Arabidopsis thaliana: one gene and its partner. The protein of the gene in region 2 interacts with the protein of the main gene of each other region in a pairwise test. Each region holds a gene or a part of one and is shown on either strand. Other genes may lie near its edges.

What was found. Proteins that work in one complex are often made in the same cells at the same time.
Region 1: the proteins of UBC36 (region 2) and AT1G28120 interact in a two-hybrid assay, tested with the Arabidopsis thaliana proteins (one large-scale study listed by BioGRID).

Annotation. Positions count from the first base shown.
Region 1 is NC_003070.9:9,810,518-9,819,110, reverse strand, and holds AT1G28120 (ubiquitin thioesterase otubain-like protein), read left to right. Parts: upstream 1-3,550; 5' UTR 3,551-3,718; intron 3,719-3,920; 5' UTR 3,921-3,967; coding exon 3,968-4,123; intron 4,124-4,253; coding exon 4,254-4,319; intron 4,320-4,398; coding exon 4,399-4,482; intron 4,483-4,615; coding exon 4,616-4,738; intron 4,739-4,835; coding exon 4,836-4,888; intron 4,889-5,034; coding exon 5,035-5,084; intron 5,085-5,157; coding exon 5,158-5,258; intron 5,259-5,522; coding exon 5,523-5,786; intron 5,787-5,868; coding exon 5,869-5,892; 3' UTR 5,893-6,181; downstream 6,182-8,593. UniProt on the Arabidopsis thaliana protein: Hydrolase that can remove conjugated ubiquitin from proteins in vitro and may therefore play an important regulatory role at the level of protein turnover by preventing degradation.
Region 2 is NC_003070.9:5,773,818-5,782,177, forward strand, and holds UBC36 (ubiquitin-conjugating enzyme 36), read right to left. Parts: upstream 4,668-8,360; 5' UTR 4,511-4,667; coding exon 4,475-4,510; exon of another isoform or gene 4,273-4,474; coding exon 4,218-4,272; intron 4,122-4,217; coding exon 4,035-4,121; intron 4,012-4,034; exon of another isoform or gene 3,656-4,011; coding exon 3,597-3,655; exon of another isoform or gene 3,304-3,596; coding exon 3,262-3,303; intron 3,150-3,261; coding exon 3,076-3,149; intron 2,968-3,075; coding exon 2,870-2,967; intron 2,771-2,869; coding exon 2,733-2,770; 3' UTR 2,360-2,732; downstream 1-2,359. Other genes in the region: ACR11 (uridylyltransferase-like protein), read left to right, coding at 1-133, 515-560, 647-784, 916-1,010, 1,152-1,236, 1,333-1,392, 1,723-1,778, 1,887-1,992 and 2 more; EBS3 (Alg9-like mannosyltransferase family), read right to left, coding at 5,445-5,576, 5,665-5,754, 5,848-6,044, 6,217-6,355, 6,456-6,567, 6,715-7,010, 7,144-7,361, 7,575-7,734 and 2 more. UniProt on the Arabidopsis thaliana protein: Catalyzes the synthesis of non-canonical poly-ubiquitin chains that are linked through 'Lys-63'. This type of poly-ubiquitination does not lead to protein degradation by the proteasome. Mediates transcriptional activation of target genes.

The sequences.
Region 1 (8,593 bases), 4.0 Mb from region 2:
GTTGGACTCGGAACATAGTAAAACTACGAAACTATTTGGATCCAATGAAACTGCTTTCTTTCTTTTTATAATAAAATATTAGAAATGAACTGAAGTTCTACACAATCACACAAACTAAGAGACGAAACCATCCAGATTTTCAAGCTCGTCGTCTAACTGTATAATTAGTCGTAAAACTCCACAAACTATCCTCATCAGTTATCATATTCAAAAAAATAACAACTATCCTAATCATGTCTAAACGTGATCGTGTTATATGTATGCATGTTTTGCTAGAATTGGAAAAAAACACAATCTGGTGATTTTGAAAACTAACGTTAGGGTATTGGAAAACTTCTAAAGCCACACAAAAAAGAAAGAGAAATCTCCTTCTTGTCAACTGTCTAATCGCAACAATTATATTTAGATAAACATCCACACATCGCGATCACATTTTTATGTCAAAGTTTAAGTGTACTTTCTTTCGTCTAATGAAATTTATCAAAAAGAGATGAAATTACATATGTCAGCTATAATTATATTTTTAGAAAACAAAAAAAATATAAATAAAAATCGCTAAACCGAAGTTTTTACCAATTAAAATTTAATCCTATCACCGATATCTTTTCCTAGAACAGAAATTATGTTGATATGATATTTATGAAAGTCGCAAATCTGACCGAAAACTTCTAGTCTTCACGTTTCTTTTGATATTTGATAGACTGTTGAACATAGCATATAATTACGTAGAAAAAAAAAGGTGCAAATAGTTGCATGTAGATAAATGATTGGAAAAAATTAATCTGAACAAAAAATTGGACATTATTCTGCTCATTCCTCTACAAAATAGTAGATGAACTAGATTTTAACCCGCGATATACCGCGGGACAATTTATTTTTTTAAAGTAATATATATTAAAACTTGTAAATTTTAATTTTATAAAATATTTATATTTTACAGTTTATAATTGTTATTAAGTAACGCTATACCACGAATCCATGAGACAATTGTTAAAAATTTGAAGTTTTAACCCCTATTAAAACAGCATATTAAACATATTTTAAAATTTTATAAATATTGATTCAAATACATCTACCATATAACCCAATTCCAAAATAAAACCCGTTCTGTAATTTTTTTACCCGTCCCGTAATTTTTTTTAAAATAGTAATTTTTAAAATTTAAGAATTATTTTTTATATATAAAAGTTTTGCAAATTGTATCATTTTCTAATACATTTATATTTTATAGTTTAATTTTATATATAATAACATTATACATACCACATAACATTTTTGGTTTTATATAACCTTTTCTAAATTAGGATGATTTGATATGTTTAATATTAGTGGTCTTAAAATATAATAAATTAAAGATTTAATCCGTATTGAAATTGTGGATTAATTATATTTTACTTTTTTATTAATGTTGATTCAAAAACCCGTCCATCCAAATCCGTCTTGCCAAAAAGCCATTTATTTTATTAATGATATGACTCTGAATTATAATCTAAATATTTTAGCTAATAACAAATGAGTGCACCATATTTATTTAATAGGAGACTGTACCATATGACCCGAATGCACTTTTATCCAAATCCACCAAAAAAATCTTGCAAAAATACTATAGAGATAAGAAACGATAGTCGGTTTTGATAGGTATAAGATTAGCAACTATATTAGTTAGCTTAAATTAGTTAAATAATACAAATTGAAAAGGTATATTACACTTTATTCGAATATAGTATCAAAACTTATATAACACAGAGATTTGATAATTTTTTAATTATTGAATACTTTTTTTTGTGCTAATTTTTATGTGATTAAGATTTAATTGATTTCGTATATAAAATATTAAATTGTTTTACGAACTTATTTGTTTATAATTTGGTAACAGATAGATATTTGAATATTCAGTATATTTTGCTTCAGTTTAGGAAATCTTTGATGACCCGTCTTTAGATCCAATAAGCCCTATAATCTAGTTATTAACCTGCAGTATACCGCAGGTAGGCTTATACTTTAGTTAAACTAAAAACTTTTATTGTAAAGATGATTTAAATATATATGATATTATTTTATTTGATTTTAAATGTATAGTAATCTGTGAGTTGTATATATTTTGTTGATATTATCTATATTGTTTAGTGTTTAAGATTATACACTTGTAGTTTGATTGTTAATTTAAGAGTTTCACATGTAGTATATCATCTTGTATTAATATCGATCTAAACCCGTCAATTCTAGGATTTTTCAGCTTGTATTAAAAATTGAATCACATCTAATATGTTATTAATTACTGTAGTATATAAGATTATAAATTTTCATTATAATATGTGTGAAATTGAATAGAAATATTTCAAATTATGATCCGTTACTCAGTAGAAAGTTTTCTTAAATCTATTTTTCTTCCGTTATAATATTTTTTCATGTATTGAATAGTTTATATTCGTTTTTAAAAATTCAAAATATGGCATATGCGAAAAAACTCTAATTATTTTTTTATAATGATGATATTATTTTTCGGCAAAAATAGAATCATATAAAGATGAGAAGTGAACTATAATAATTAATAAAAAATTAATATGATAATTTAGATATCAAATCTAATTTGTTGATTTTAATTGGTTACTTTTTTGGAAATTAATAATGTATTTCGTTTTTCTAATTAAATTAAATTAATTAAAATTTAGATATCAAATCTTATATGTTGATTTTGATTGGTTATTATTTTTGGAAAATAATAATATATTTCGTTTTTTAATTAAATTTAATTAATTAAATTAGTATTTGACTTTTTAATCCTTAAAGAGATAAATTAATTTACTCTTTAAAATTTTATTTCTAATGGCATACCTATGTAATTACTTATAAAAGTTAAGGTTACATTTAAAATGTACTTCCCAAATAATATAGTAGGATAAGTTGAACAAATTTTCTATATATATATATATTATTTTTTGTATTGTTTTTGGTTAAATGTGTTGAATGAGTTTTCCAACTTATTTATCTCAAATATTAAAAAATAATATGAATGGTTATTCAACTCTTTCGACTTCTTATTTTAAGACAAATATTTGTACTCTTGGCTTGATGGATCTCTTTCTAAAATTTGAAGTGTTTAATTAGTTAATGTTTTTATTTGTCAATTTTTATTTTGTTTTAAAATCATTTTTTACTATTGAAATACTTTTTGGTAAACTTCCTTTGTTAATTTTTTTTTTTTTTTTGTCATCTCCTTTGTTTATTGTTTATCTTGATAAATTACGTAGTTTTGATAAACAAACAAATCGTTTATCTTAATAAATTAGGTAGTTTTGATTCACTTTGTTTATGGTCAGTTTGTAAAGAAAAAGAAAACAAAACTCTAGTGACTAAGCAAAGTTCAGATTATTGTTGGGCCAAAATATTTAGGCCCATTTTAAGCTCTACCGTCATTTTAACTTTTTATGGTCCAAAAACGATTCGACTTTTTTCCTGATTCGTGTAGAGAAAAATAAAAAATTAAATATAAAAAATTAAGTACTTTGGGAAAAAGCGAAACGTATCTTACCATTTATACCCCTCCAATCAAAATTGATGGTTTCCCCGATTTGAGAAATCTTTTTCATCATCATCACTCTTCCTCCTTCCCCATTGCTTAGTGTTGGTTCCCAAGTCCCAACCTGCTTCAATTTAGGTCGCAAACGATCTCAATTATTCACAATCCAATCTTTTCTTCAATCGATCTTCGTTTCTGGTAAATCCTCCGCCATCGATTTCCCCGTTTCTCTCCTTATCTTAAGATTCTTGGATTCGTATTTGTTTGATTGTCAGATTTGTGAATTGTTGATCAACAAACTCGTTATCAGTATTCAGATTGAATTATCGTTGAATTGAGGATCAGTTGATAGAATCTTGAGTCGTTTGTTTCAAATCGGATTTGAATTGTGTGTTTGTAGATCAAGCTAATAATAAGCTAGGAAGAGAGTTTAGTGAAGTAGTGAAGATGCAGAATCAGATTGATATGGTGAAGGATGAAGCGGAAGTAGCTGCATCGATTTCAGCAATTAAGGGTGAAGAATGGGGAAATTGTTCATCAGTGGAAGATCAACCATCTTTTCAAGAAGAAGAAGCTGCTAAAGTTCCTTATGTTGGTGATAAGGTCAGAGCCAATATTAAAATTGATCTTCTGTTTCATATTATTCGTTTTTTGGCTTCTACGTGTTATCTTGCTCTGTTTATTTATCGAAAGAAGTTAAAAAGGTTGATTGTTTTGGTTCAATGATGTGCAGGAACCTCTGTCTAGTTTAGCTGCAGAGTATCAATCAGGGAGTCCCATTTTGCTGGAGAAGATTAAGGTTACTTTCTGCTCTGTTATCTTTTTCGTGGTTTGTTGCTTTCAGTCTTTTTGAATTATCATGTTTGCAATGCTTGTAGATACTGGACAGTCAATATATCGGAATCCGGCGAACAAGAGGAGATGGAAATTGCTTCTTCCGAAGTTTTATGTTCTCTTACCTTGTATGTTCTCAGAATGTCTTCTATTTTGCCTAGCTCTTGTTTGTGTAGTTGGTTTTGAACTTTGTTATTTTGGTTAGACGTGGATTGTATCTTTAGTTAAAGTTGCTGTTGTTTTCTCTGCTTTGTTTCGTAGGAGCATATATTGGAATCACAAGATCGTGCTGAAGTCGATCGTATCAAGGTCAATGTTGAGAAATGTAGAAAGACTCTGCAAAACTTAGGTTATACAGATTTTACATTTGAGGACTTCTTTGCGGTAAATCGACCACCTTTTTCTGTTTTCTATTGTGTCTGCTTTTTAAATCTGGTAAGATCACCACCAATACTCAATTTCATCTTTCTTGAAAATACAGTTGTTCCTTGAGCAACTAGATGACATTCTCCAAGGAACTGAAGAGTCTATAAGGTAGAGAACTGTTTATCCAGATGGCTTTTTAATTGGCATTTAATTTTGATTTCTGTTTTCGTGTGGATAAGTTCTGACTTTCATGAAATGGCACAAGTCTCTTCTCGTTGTATCTCATCCTTTTTGCAAATATCTTTCTCTTACAGCTACGATGAGCTGGTTAACAGAAGTAGAGATCAGTCAGTCTCAGATTACAGTAAGTTACTCTAATTTTCTCTGGCGATGCATATCCAATGGTACATAGTTTTGACAAATTTTTGTTGTCTCAGTTGTAATGTTCTTTAGGTTTGTTACTGCTGGTGATATACGAACGCGTGCCGATTTTTTCGAGCCTTTTATAACAGGCTTATCAAATGCAACAGTGGATCAGGTTTGTACACACGCTTACTCTGTTTTGGAATTCAGGCCATTTGGTGATATGTTTGAAATTTTATTTTTCCGTCTCTGTGATATCTCTGTCAATTTTAATGTCCTTCCAAACTTGCTTGCTTTATCTCTGATTAGTCAGCGTTGTGAGACGTTAAGTCTCTTGCACTTATGTTTAAACTAAAGATTCTGTTGAAAGTTCTGAATACCTCCTCATAGATTATTAGAGCATAGGTGAATGCAAGATATTAACACTACATTGTTATAGTTTTGCAAGTCCTCGGTCGAACCAATGGGGGAAGAGAGTGACCATATTCACATAACTGCTTTGTCGGACGCACTTGGTGTTGCAATCCGTGTTGTGTATCTTGACCGTAGCTCATGTGATAGTGGGGGCGTCACTGTGAATCATCATGACTTTGTTCCTGTGGGCATTACCAATGAGAAAGATGAAGAAGCTTCTGCTCCATTTATAACCTTGCTGTATCGTCCAGGCCATTACGATATCCTCTACCCCAAGCCATCTTGTAAGGTATATAAACACGAAATCGCCATATGACCTCTCTTCCTTTTAGATTCGACGTGGATTAAATTTAATGATTGTGTTGTTACAGGTATCAGACAATGTGGGGAAATGATCATTTGACATATCGTAAATCGCATTAGGAGACGTTTACAAAAAACTGTGGTAATATGGATTCATGTGGATGAAACCATGGAACAATCAACAATTACCCCATCGATTTGCATTTTGATTATGATAAAAGAACCCTTTTTGCAACACTATAGAATGGACCGTCTCTTTACTTTGATATTGCCTTGTATTTTTCATGAATCATGATAATATCCTTTATGATATTTCTGATGAGCAAGTGGAATCAAAGGGTTTTCGATATTACCAATGGCAGAGTTCTAAGTTTGTTTTAATGGCCTGACTAAAATCTTAAACTTGAATATTTTTTTAAAATATAGAAAAGTGACGACAAAGAAATGCAAACCCTTTGGACTATTATTTTTGAGTGTCGATTGGGTCGAGAACCCGTGGATTGGGCATAAATTACCCTACCATGAGACGAGTTAAGGCTACAAATGTTGATGCTAAAATAATGCGGGCTACACGAGTTGGCTCATGGTGGATAGTGGTTTTGAGCAGTCTAAATGGATTATATTAAGTCTTGTAAATATTTGGAACCCCCAAAAACGATGTAACAAGAAGAAACCAAAAGATAAGAGCATGCCCATTGATTGAATCCTTATAAAAAATCCTTAACATTTTTTAATAATATATTTTGGTAATTTTAAAGTTTAGAGTTTTTGTTGAGTCTCTAAATTTTTTGTTATCCAATGGTGGAGTCCTTATGAAAATTTCTTTAAAAAGCAAAAATATTTTTAAAATAATTTATTTGATAAAACTTAAAAGTTATTAGAAAATATTACAAATTGTAAACATATATGATGACATAAAAGCAAAAAAAAAGAAAAAAAGAATACAAATCAAAAGGCTTCCAAGAGGAAACTAAAGTCCGAGATGAGAGGTCTATTAATGAAATTGTCACCAAAGGAAGAACATAGAATAATCTATCTCCAGCTCAAGACACTGTCATGAACTTAAATGAAAGCACGTACCTAGAACCAATTATTTGATAACATCAACTAAATGAGCAAACAAAAGAGCATAAACATAAACCTAGAACCAATTATTTTGTGTCACCAATCCGTTGTAATGCTAATGAGAAGTGAATAAGCAGCAAAAGGGTCACATTTTTATCTTAAAAACCAACAGATCAAACACAAATTTGAACATAAACCAAAGCTCAGAAACTCTATACGAAACCAAGAGAGAGGAGAGAAAGAAAAAAGGAAAAAAACTTGTTTTGTTTTATTGGTCCTCCAATGATATAGTGCCACGTCAGCGAACCTTACTCACCCAAAAATACCTTATTCAAGGTTCGCACCTTGGTTAATTAGTCAATTTTGATTTATTTTTTTGCTTCTTTTCATTAGGATTCTCTTAAGAAACTTGTAAGGTCCCTGCAATGGACATGCTCTAAGTGTTAGTGTCAATCCGTATTTATTTTCCTTTTTGTCACAACCATCTAAAGACTATACTGTAGAGAATCAGAGGGCATAGTGTATGTATACGTCCTTTATTGTTTGTCACTTTCTTCTTTGGAAGCTTGTCACGTAACGAAGAGAATCCATGTATATCCAAATGAAATCAAAATCAAACTTGGCACTATAGTTCCTTTAACTGAACTATTCAAAGGGAACTTGAATCCAAGAAGACCGAAACTAGTAGTTATAAAAAGGGTCAAAGTCACACGCCATATGAAAGAAAGGTTGACATGAGATGCACTTAGATGGCTTAGAGGGCCGATTAATCATCTCTAACAAACACACTAAATTATTAACTATTTTTGTTATTTTTATTCATATGCATGCATGTTCTCTCTTCGATTTAACAATTCCCAACACTACTACCATACAAAAAAGACACATACACTTGTTACCGTTTCAATGTTACATTAAAAATTCAAAGCCTTTTTTTTCCTTTTGACCTACCCCTCTATCTTTCTCTTCCTCTTACATAATATTTTTGAAAACAGAAACCAATATTTTCTATACTTTAAGTAGGGCTTTAAAAGGTGTATTGGATCTTGGTTCTTGATATGGATATGGGAAAACAGGTTGGGAAAACTATATATAGATTAAATAGCGTTATTTATTTATTTAGGGTTAGAATAAACATTAGGATTGTTTGAATCAGTATTAGTTTAACTTATAATCATATATAAGTTTACTAAGTAAGAACATATAAAACCCAAATATCTCTGCGAGTGGGAATAATCACATTCAATTGTACAAGAGTAACACACTTGGTTGGGGTACCTTTCTTTAGTAATCATATCATAAGTCATGCTATAGTTTTGTTTTGATCATATAATTACCTTAACGTAGGTTATCTAATCCCTACATGTTTAACATACAACTAACGATGGAGAGTCAAAAGTTTAAATGAACTTTAAGTAAACTAATAATTGTTCACAATAAGTGAATATAGGCCAAAAGACATTGGGACAAGAAAACAAGAGAAGAAGACACAAACAAAGGGTCAGATTAGTTAGTGTTTCCAATTCCATTTGTAATTATTAAGAGGATAATGAGAAAATAGGGATACAAGAGACAAGACGTGAGAGGGTGGGGATGGGCCATTCCCACTCCTTTAGCCAACCCATAAAGGCAAAAGTTGTTTTTGAGTTTCAGACCAAATGGACTCTGTCTCTTTCCCTTTTTCATTTTTTTTCTCTGTTTTCAGTTCCCAACAAAATGGTTATTCAT
Region 2 (8,360 bases):
GTTCTGCTCTTTGCTTCACTGATGCTTCTAGCTCTCTTGCTTTAAGACGCGATTGTGGAGCTCTTTGCTTGCCTCCTAGGACAGTTACGTTTGGATTTGTCGATAAACCTCTTGTCAATCTCGAGCGATTAAGGTTTTTGTTTTTTGGCTATCTCTTGATGCCTTCTTGAGAATTTGAATTCGAGCTTCTTTTGGATTGCTTTTTCGATTGTGATCTTAGTTTTGTGCTGATTCGAGTTTCATGAAGTAAATACTGTTTCCGAAACAAATTCTTTTGTAGTGAATTTTCTCCACAGATCTCTAAATCCTTAAAAAGCATCTGATACCTTTTTTTAACGATTATCAGAATTTTGTGTTCCGAGTTGCTAATCTTTTTAAAATGTCCAAATGATTTTATTGCTGGTTATAAATTCGTATCTTTTGCTGGAATTCGATTCAAAGCACAGATTGTTTTGAGCTGATCTTCTACGGATTCAAATACTTCAATTCAATTCTTTTTTTTTTTTTTCTTCAGATTATCCACTTTGAAGATTAGAGCATCAAATGCTACTGCTGTGGAGGTATGAAAATGAAATGATTACACAAGGACACTAGTAATTTGAATAGACTTTTTAAAGTTTATATGTTTTTGTTTTTGATTTTGAAGAATGGAAAGCAAGAAGGAAGTGCTGCTGATTCTGATAAAGTTCCAACTCCAGTTGTTATAATCGACCAAGATTCTGACCCTGATGCAACCGTTCTTGAAGTTACATTCGGAGATCGTCTTGGAGCTTTACTTGACACTGTAAGGAAGGATACCTTCTTCTTACTCACTTGTTGCTAGCTCTGCATAATCGACCAACATTCACAAAAGCTTCTTACTTCCTTTCCTGCTTTTTTGACTGCTTCTTGATCTGATCAACTTTGCCCTTCTAGATGAATGCGCTCAAAAACTTGGGATTGAATGTCGTCAAGGCAAATGTTTACCTTGATTCTTCCGGCAAGCACAACAAATTTGCCATTACTAGAGCGTATGTCTTTTCATATCATCAAAGAGTATTTTGAGCTCCAAGAGTCGTTTAGATAGTTAATGTTGCTTTGAATCGATTGACTCTGTCAAATAGTTGACTTTAGATTGAGTTTTGAGCTGACTGTAATTGTTGTTACAACAGAGATAGTGGAAGAAAAGTAGAAGACCCTGAATTGCTTGAGGCCATTCGTCTCACAGTCATAAACAATCTGCTTGAGTTTCATCCTGTAACTACTTCACATCCTAATATCCTCTCTTTCTATTTTTCCTATATCTTGCATAATTTTTTAACTCACACATTGCTTCTCGATGATTTGGATCAGGAATCAAGTTCTCAGTTGGCAATGGGAGCAGCTTTTGGTGTTCTTCCTCCAACTGAACCGGTAAAAACCTTAAACTGTGATGCTCTTTTTATAACCTTATCCACTTCTTTTGTATTGCACTAATTCTTCAAGTAGTTAGCATCCTCGAACATAAAGGTCAAGACTGCTTGTCGTTTCCTCGGTCACGTACAGATAAGAAACAATAATAGAGAAAACAAAGACTTAACTAATAATCAACATATTTGGATTTGGCGGGTCAATGTAGAGTACAAGTATTAAACTTCATTATAGTATTAATCACTTTGATGAAGAAGGGAATACCCACGCAACTTCAAAGTAGCTTCAAAATTCATTTTCCTTCTTCTGTATTTTGGATTGGGATGTTGACAGATTGACGTGGACATAGCAACACATATAACCATTGAAGATGATGGACCAGACCGCAGGTAATGTATACCCATACCTTATCTCAACTCTAGAACCTTATCCAAATGCTTTTATTCTTATGATATATGATCTGATCATTGATCCATAATTATTTGTTGATGATGCAGTTTACTCTTCATAGAATCAGCGGATAGACCTGGACTATTAGTTGAGCTGGTGAAGATCATTTCAGATATCAGCGTCGCTGTTGAATCTGGAGAATTCGACACCGAGGTATCTAATAATCCTGTTTTTTAATGTCTAAAACATATACCCTCCGCTATAATATCGCTCTGTTTCTCATGTTGCTTCTTCTTGTTGTATGTGAAACAAAAAGGGTTTGTTGGCTAAGGTGAAGTTTCATGTAAGCTACAGGAACAAAGCCCTAATCAAGCCTCTCCAGCAGGTTAAAATTCTGAAATTAGACTTTTCTCTTTGATAAGTTGAAATGTTTTTACTGAAATGAAATCAAATTTTGTATTTGTAGGTCCTTGCTAATAGTCTGAGGTACTTCTTGAGGCGTCCATCAACTGACGAGTCAAGTTTCTGATTATGCCCATTTTTCAAAATCTCAAGTCTCATTCCTCGTGACTACTATTTTTACCACTTTTTTTTTTTTTTACATTTGACCAAAATAAGCTGCTTCATACACCTGTAATAGTAACATTATGCATCATTCATCCAATTTACTTTGATTCACAACCTGTGAAAATCTGATTATCTACACCACTTTATAAAGATTATTATAGAGCATATATAACAAAAACAAAGATCAAAAGCAAGCACAATTGAAGAAAGTTAGATTCCAGATATGGGTAAACGAGTCTTAGATCCCCCTAGTTATACAAATTCAGAGAGTACAAATCTTTTTCCTCTGTTTTCAGAAAAAGGATTCAGATAAAACCTTGAGATAGAGTTTCACCATATATAATGTTATTTAAATGACAATGATCTTTCTCCATTTGCAGTCTTCTTTAAGCACCACTTGCGTAAAGACGAGTCCATTCCTTAGCTGCATAAGTTCACATTGATATGAGATTACCAGATTAGAGAGGAGAGGAATAAAGTTTTTGTTGCAACTTTTTTGAGTTTTTCGATCGTATTTTATCACCTGTTTCCACAGCTTCTGCCTCATTGCTCTTCCAATGCTTAGCTATGTTCTCAGACAGAGGATCATCTGGGTTTGGTGCACTTAAAAGAGCTTGGATACTGTTTTTACACGGCAATGGAAAATCAGAAAGTGTGAATAATTAAATCTTAATTTCTACAATATTTTGGATTTAGTAGGGAAAGAAGATTCTATGGATATATTCATACCTCAAGAGCACAGTTCGTATTTGTAGTGCAGGACTCCACTTGTCTTTCAGTATGTCAAGGCAGATTCTTCCAAGCTATATATACATGATAAGTGCAAACAAAACATGATCCATAAGTATAAAAGACCATGTGTTTGGTTAGTTATCTTGACAGTAAGAGAAGAAAAGGAAATTTTTCACAACAGACCTTGTCGATGTTAGGATGGTAAATCTTGGTGAGAAACCTAACCTGTGTTTCAAATGATATCATCAATAAGACCCATAAACTCTACATCAATGAAGAAACTTGGATACGTTGTCTAATATAATATAAGAAAATACATTCGGAGTAGTCATAACAAAACCAAAATCACCAATCTCATAAACCCATAAATAAAATCCTAGTGTTAAGAGTAGAGAGACATTCACTTAAAGAGCATTTACCTCCACTTAACAATGTTATGTGGGGTAATCCTAATGTTACCAAAACAAGTGAAACATGAAATGAAAGAAGAAAAACACACAAAAGTTGAAGCAACTTACCTTGGGAGCTGCCATAGGATATTCTTCAGGCAAAAAGAGCTCCAACTTGAAAACTCCTCCTACAGATTGAGAAGGAAACAAAATTATTGGTAAACATCAATTAACAGAAATATGATGATAGATAAAACAGCAGACTTGATTCTGGAAATTCGACTTGGCATTGTGTATTCTAGAACAAATAAAATGTGTCGAAATGAACTCAAAGGTAGCTTAAAGACTCATCGTTATTCATAACACTACAATCCGAACATGAGCAATCTATGAGACCTAGTAGTACCTAAACGAACATATCCGTTTGTATAAACAAATATAGAGACAGAGCAGAGTCACTACTTGCAGCAGAAACGATAACGATAAATCGTTGAGCAGCATGCATTAAAGAAGAAAAAGGAAGAAGTAACGATGAGCATCTTTGGGAGATTAAAACAATTTGACTACCTTCATAAGGAGATTGAGTAGGACCAAGAATCATAACATTGAAATATCTCATATTTTCCTCTGATGGAGACGCACTTATCCCAGGAGCTGCAATTTCGAAAGATATACAACTTAGAATTAAAATCAATAGTTCCAGCTACCAAAACCAACTGTTTGAGCTAAAATCAACTGTGAGAAATCAACAAGGATCGAATGAAGTGATGAAATTACCAGGTTCACTAAGCAGACGTTGAGTTTCCTATCAGATCGAAGAACAAAAAAAAGTCAGATCAAGATGACGAAGATGATATAAGATCGTACAAGCTATCGAAAATTCTTCCCAGTTCTGCTGAGGTATATAATCCGTCGGTTCCTTCTTCGGATTTCAGATTAGAATTCCCCAAAATGAAACTGAGGGGAGATACGGATCGGAGGATGCTACAGAGGATCGGAAAACTAACCTTGATGATTCGTCGGGGAAGATTACTATTGGCCATTATCGCACGCTATCGGATTCGATCGTCACAGAGAAGTTAGGGTTTTTGAGAGAGAACGAAGCTACCAAAGGCTGATAATAATCGAGTACGCTTCGTCGTCTCTAGTTTCGTGCCCCTTTGATCCTTTTAATTCTTTCTTTTTTTCCTTTACGGAAATAAATTGATGCTTTTATGCTAGTAAAAATATATAATTACATGAAATATGTAAGGAATACATTTAGTAAATAATTTTCTGTAAGTTCTCTTCCATATTCATATTCAATTTTTTTAAGAATAATTTCCATATTCAAATACTTTTTTAACCATGATTGAAAACTACTAAGAAAATAATCTTTTCTTAGTTTTGTAAACGACATGCACTATTTATTAGTCTGGTGGTAACATAGTGACAACATTATTACAAACGTCAATATACCTACCATGATCTCGATGACTCGATCAAATTTTTAGAAAAATTAATACCTTGTTTAGGTTATTCTTTTCTTCAAAGATAATCTTTTACAATATATATACACAACTTTTTTAGTTCATTATCTTCAATTCTATTGCGTTCTTCTTCTGTACCTTTTTACGACGCGTTGGTCAAACGCTAACTTAAAGAGGACAGAAATATGAATTATGAAGTGCCCTCCATAGTCTTCTCATTTTCTCCCTTTTTCTCGATAGCCAAAATTGGAATCCGCAATATCAAAAGACAAAAAGAATATAGACTTTGCACAATAATGTCATAAACATAATCTTCCACGTTCTTCTGACCATTTGGAGATTTCTTACAAAGTTAAAACTAGTCTCTTTCACAACAACACAACTACGAACCGTGAACGTACCTGAACTTAAAGCCGATACTAATCAGTTATTAGTTATTACATTCTCCCAAAACTACCCAATGAACTGAGTTAAAGCTACAAGTCTAAGGAGTTTTAACGATTTGTGATCATTTTGGGACTCTTCTCAGTGCTACGTATTTGCCAAACACATTTTTCTCCTGCCACATGTGCGGGATGAAGAACGATCTATACTTAGCTGGCGACAGCTCTCTGTCCAAATAAGGCAACACCGCAATAGCCTGAAAAAAGGGTCAAAACAACCAATTGAAGAAGTGAAGTGAAATCAAAGATGGATTCTGTTTCAGGAAGATGGTTTGATTCCTATACCTCCCATGTAGATAAGTCGCTGCCTCGATACTGATACGGTCTGCTAAGCTGCAACTCAATGAGGAATGTACAAGTTTCGATGTTCTTTAACTGGAAAAAATGGAACGAGTAAACAAGCCATGATTAAGTTTATGTTTAGAGATATTTTGAAGGTTTCATGAGAGAAGAGTGTGTGAGTATTACATATTGTTCTTCGGATGCTTGGTTCTTGTTGTTGAAGTATGGAGGTGATGCTGAAGTGCCTCCAAGTGTATTGTTAAATGGGAATGGAAGAAGACCGCGGAATCCATCATCGATCCACCGTACTTCGCTAATGTAGTGGGGCACAAAAAACGATGATGGGTATCGATGCCATTCACTTCCCACACATAGAACAGAACCTGACATACAAAACCAACCAAGAAGTCATCAGTGATTAGAAAACTTTTGTCAAAAGGACTTTGTTACCCTTTTTCCAATGGCAAATTACTATTCTTGAAGTAAAAGTGAGATGTGATCTTCACTCGTCTTAGCATTATAATGATCAAGAAGTTCAGTTCGAATTGGATATACCTGGTCCTGCATCATCATGATGCTCCAGTAGTTTGTAGACCTCCAAGGGAGCGGAATAGCCATTAATAAGAGCAAATGTGCGAGAATGTGAAGCACATAAGATACAACCAAGAATCACAGGTCGCATGTATTTGGTTATCTGCGTATTAAACAGATATGTGAGAATCGTACAATCTACTTCTTTTCAATTTGCGGAAAGGTATAAATCAGAGACTGAGATATTGTAAGTTGGAACTTACTGTCACCAGAAGACTTTCACGTGAGCTATACTTTTCCCGGAACAGCTCAGGGATGTTCTCAATAACAGCAGAAGCAGAGACACAAATAAGAGGGTATATAGGATAAAGGAACCTGCAGTCAATTAATTGACAATCAAAAACATTGTTTGTTGAATACCGTGATTTTGTAAAAGTATCATAAAACTGGTTTCCTCAACGATATAGAAGCCACCATACGAATGCTCAAAAAATTACAAGATGAAAGATCTTAGAAAATCACCTTTCTTCTTTGTGGGGCTGAAGTGACATGAACGCCAGCCAAATATACATCGGGGAAATCACAACCAGCAGGGCACGGTCATACTTCCTTCTGATAACAGGATATATTGCGACAAACAACATTGCCAAAATGAAACAGAAGTTGAAGTTGTTAAATCCATTTCTTATATAAAATAACGCTCCTTCAGTCCCATAGAGATGGCTCTCTCCACCCCCTAACACATTGTATATCAAGAGATTCAAAACTGATGATGTCCATCTCTTGTAATAATAGTAATCCACAAGTAGTGAGACTCCCTAGAAAAGAGACAAAACTAATTAGAAGAGAAAATAGTAATTTAAAGTTACAGGTGCTAATGAAAGTCAGCGAGATCCAATAATTCCCATAAAATTCACACAGACAAAGCATCTAGGATTGGTGTTAGCTTACAAGGAGAAATATAGTGGTGACTGCACCAGCGATAAATGCTTGCTTGAATCTCTTAACCAGAGAGTAAATAACGACAGGTAAAAAGGCCAAGATAGAAAATGGCCAGCCAAGAATCACCCCGACAACCGAAACTGCAACAGCCATGGCATACTTCTCGAAAAGTAATAAACCAGATGAGAGGCTTATGGCGTACATAGAAAATGAACTGGGGAGGAAACCTATCAAAATTTTAGAGAAACATGAATTAGTAAGAAACCAGAACACAAAGCCAAATTCAGAGCAATGTCTTTGGAATAACTTATACAAGCATTTGAAACTAAAACCTATCGGATGCAAGAATAACTTGGAAAGCCTATATATGCATATTAAGGAAATATGACAGAAAGCTTAAGCAAGTGTAACAACAAATCAAAACAAAACAAAACACTCACTGGTACTAGCAAAGAAGCAGCCACTGGTTAAGCAGAGCATCGCAACTGCATAGGTAGCGATACGTTTCCCATACTTTCTGGAGAGCGCAACAACCAGGACAGTATCTGAAACTGCAGAAACCAGTCCGAGAAAGAGTCTCACTGCATAGAAAACTCTAACCTATCCAAAAGATAGACGTAAACTGGATAAGAAACATGCAGTTATATCTATACCGATTAGAATGTACATCAGTAAGTATGCATTGCTTACCTTGTCATCACCAAACCACCAAGAAGCAGGCCGTCCAGCCAATTCATGGAATAGAATGTATAAGTACGACCGAAGAGCAAAGTTGGAACTGCAAAATACACACACACACACACACAAAAAAAAAAAAAGTAATCAATCTCATGATTATATCTTCATATAAAACAAAGCTCGATAACCTAATAAAGATTCCGTTGAAACCGAAGTTCCACTAAAACCAAATCCCAACCTCACATTTCTGATTTCAAATTGAAACAAAATGTTGAGAATCAGTAGTCACCGATACATAAGTATAGAATCACAGCTCAAAGTACATGCTCACTCGAGCTAACATCGGGTCTTTAGCTCAGTAGTAACATAATCAAATGTAGCGGAAAAGCAAACCTGTATTCCCAGGTCTGAAATCCGGACTTGTAGAGAATATAATGAAGAGGCTCCCAGTAATTGAACACTTCATCGCAGTCATGAATGATATTAGAAGTCGCGCTCATGTAACGAAGATAACAAAGCGCTATAAACGGCAAGAACCATCGGAGACC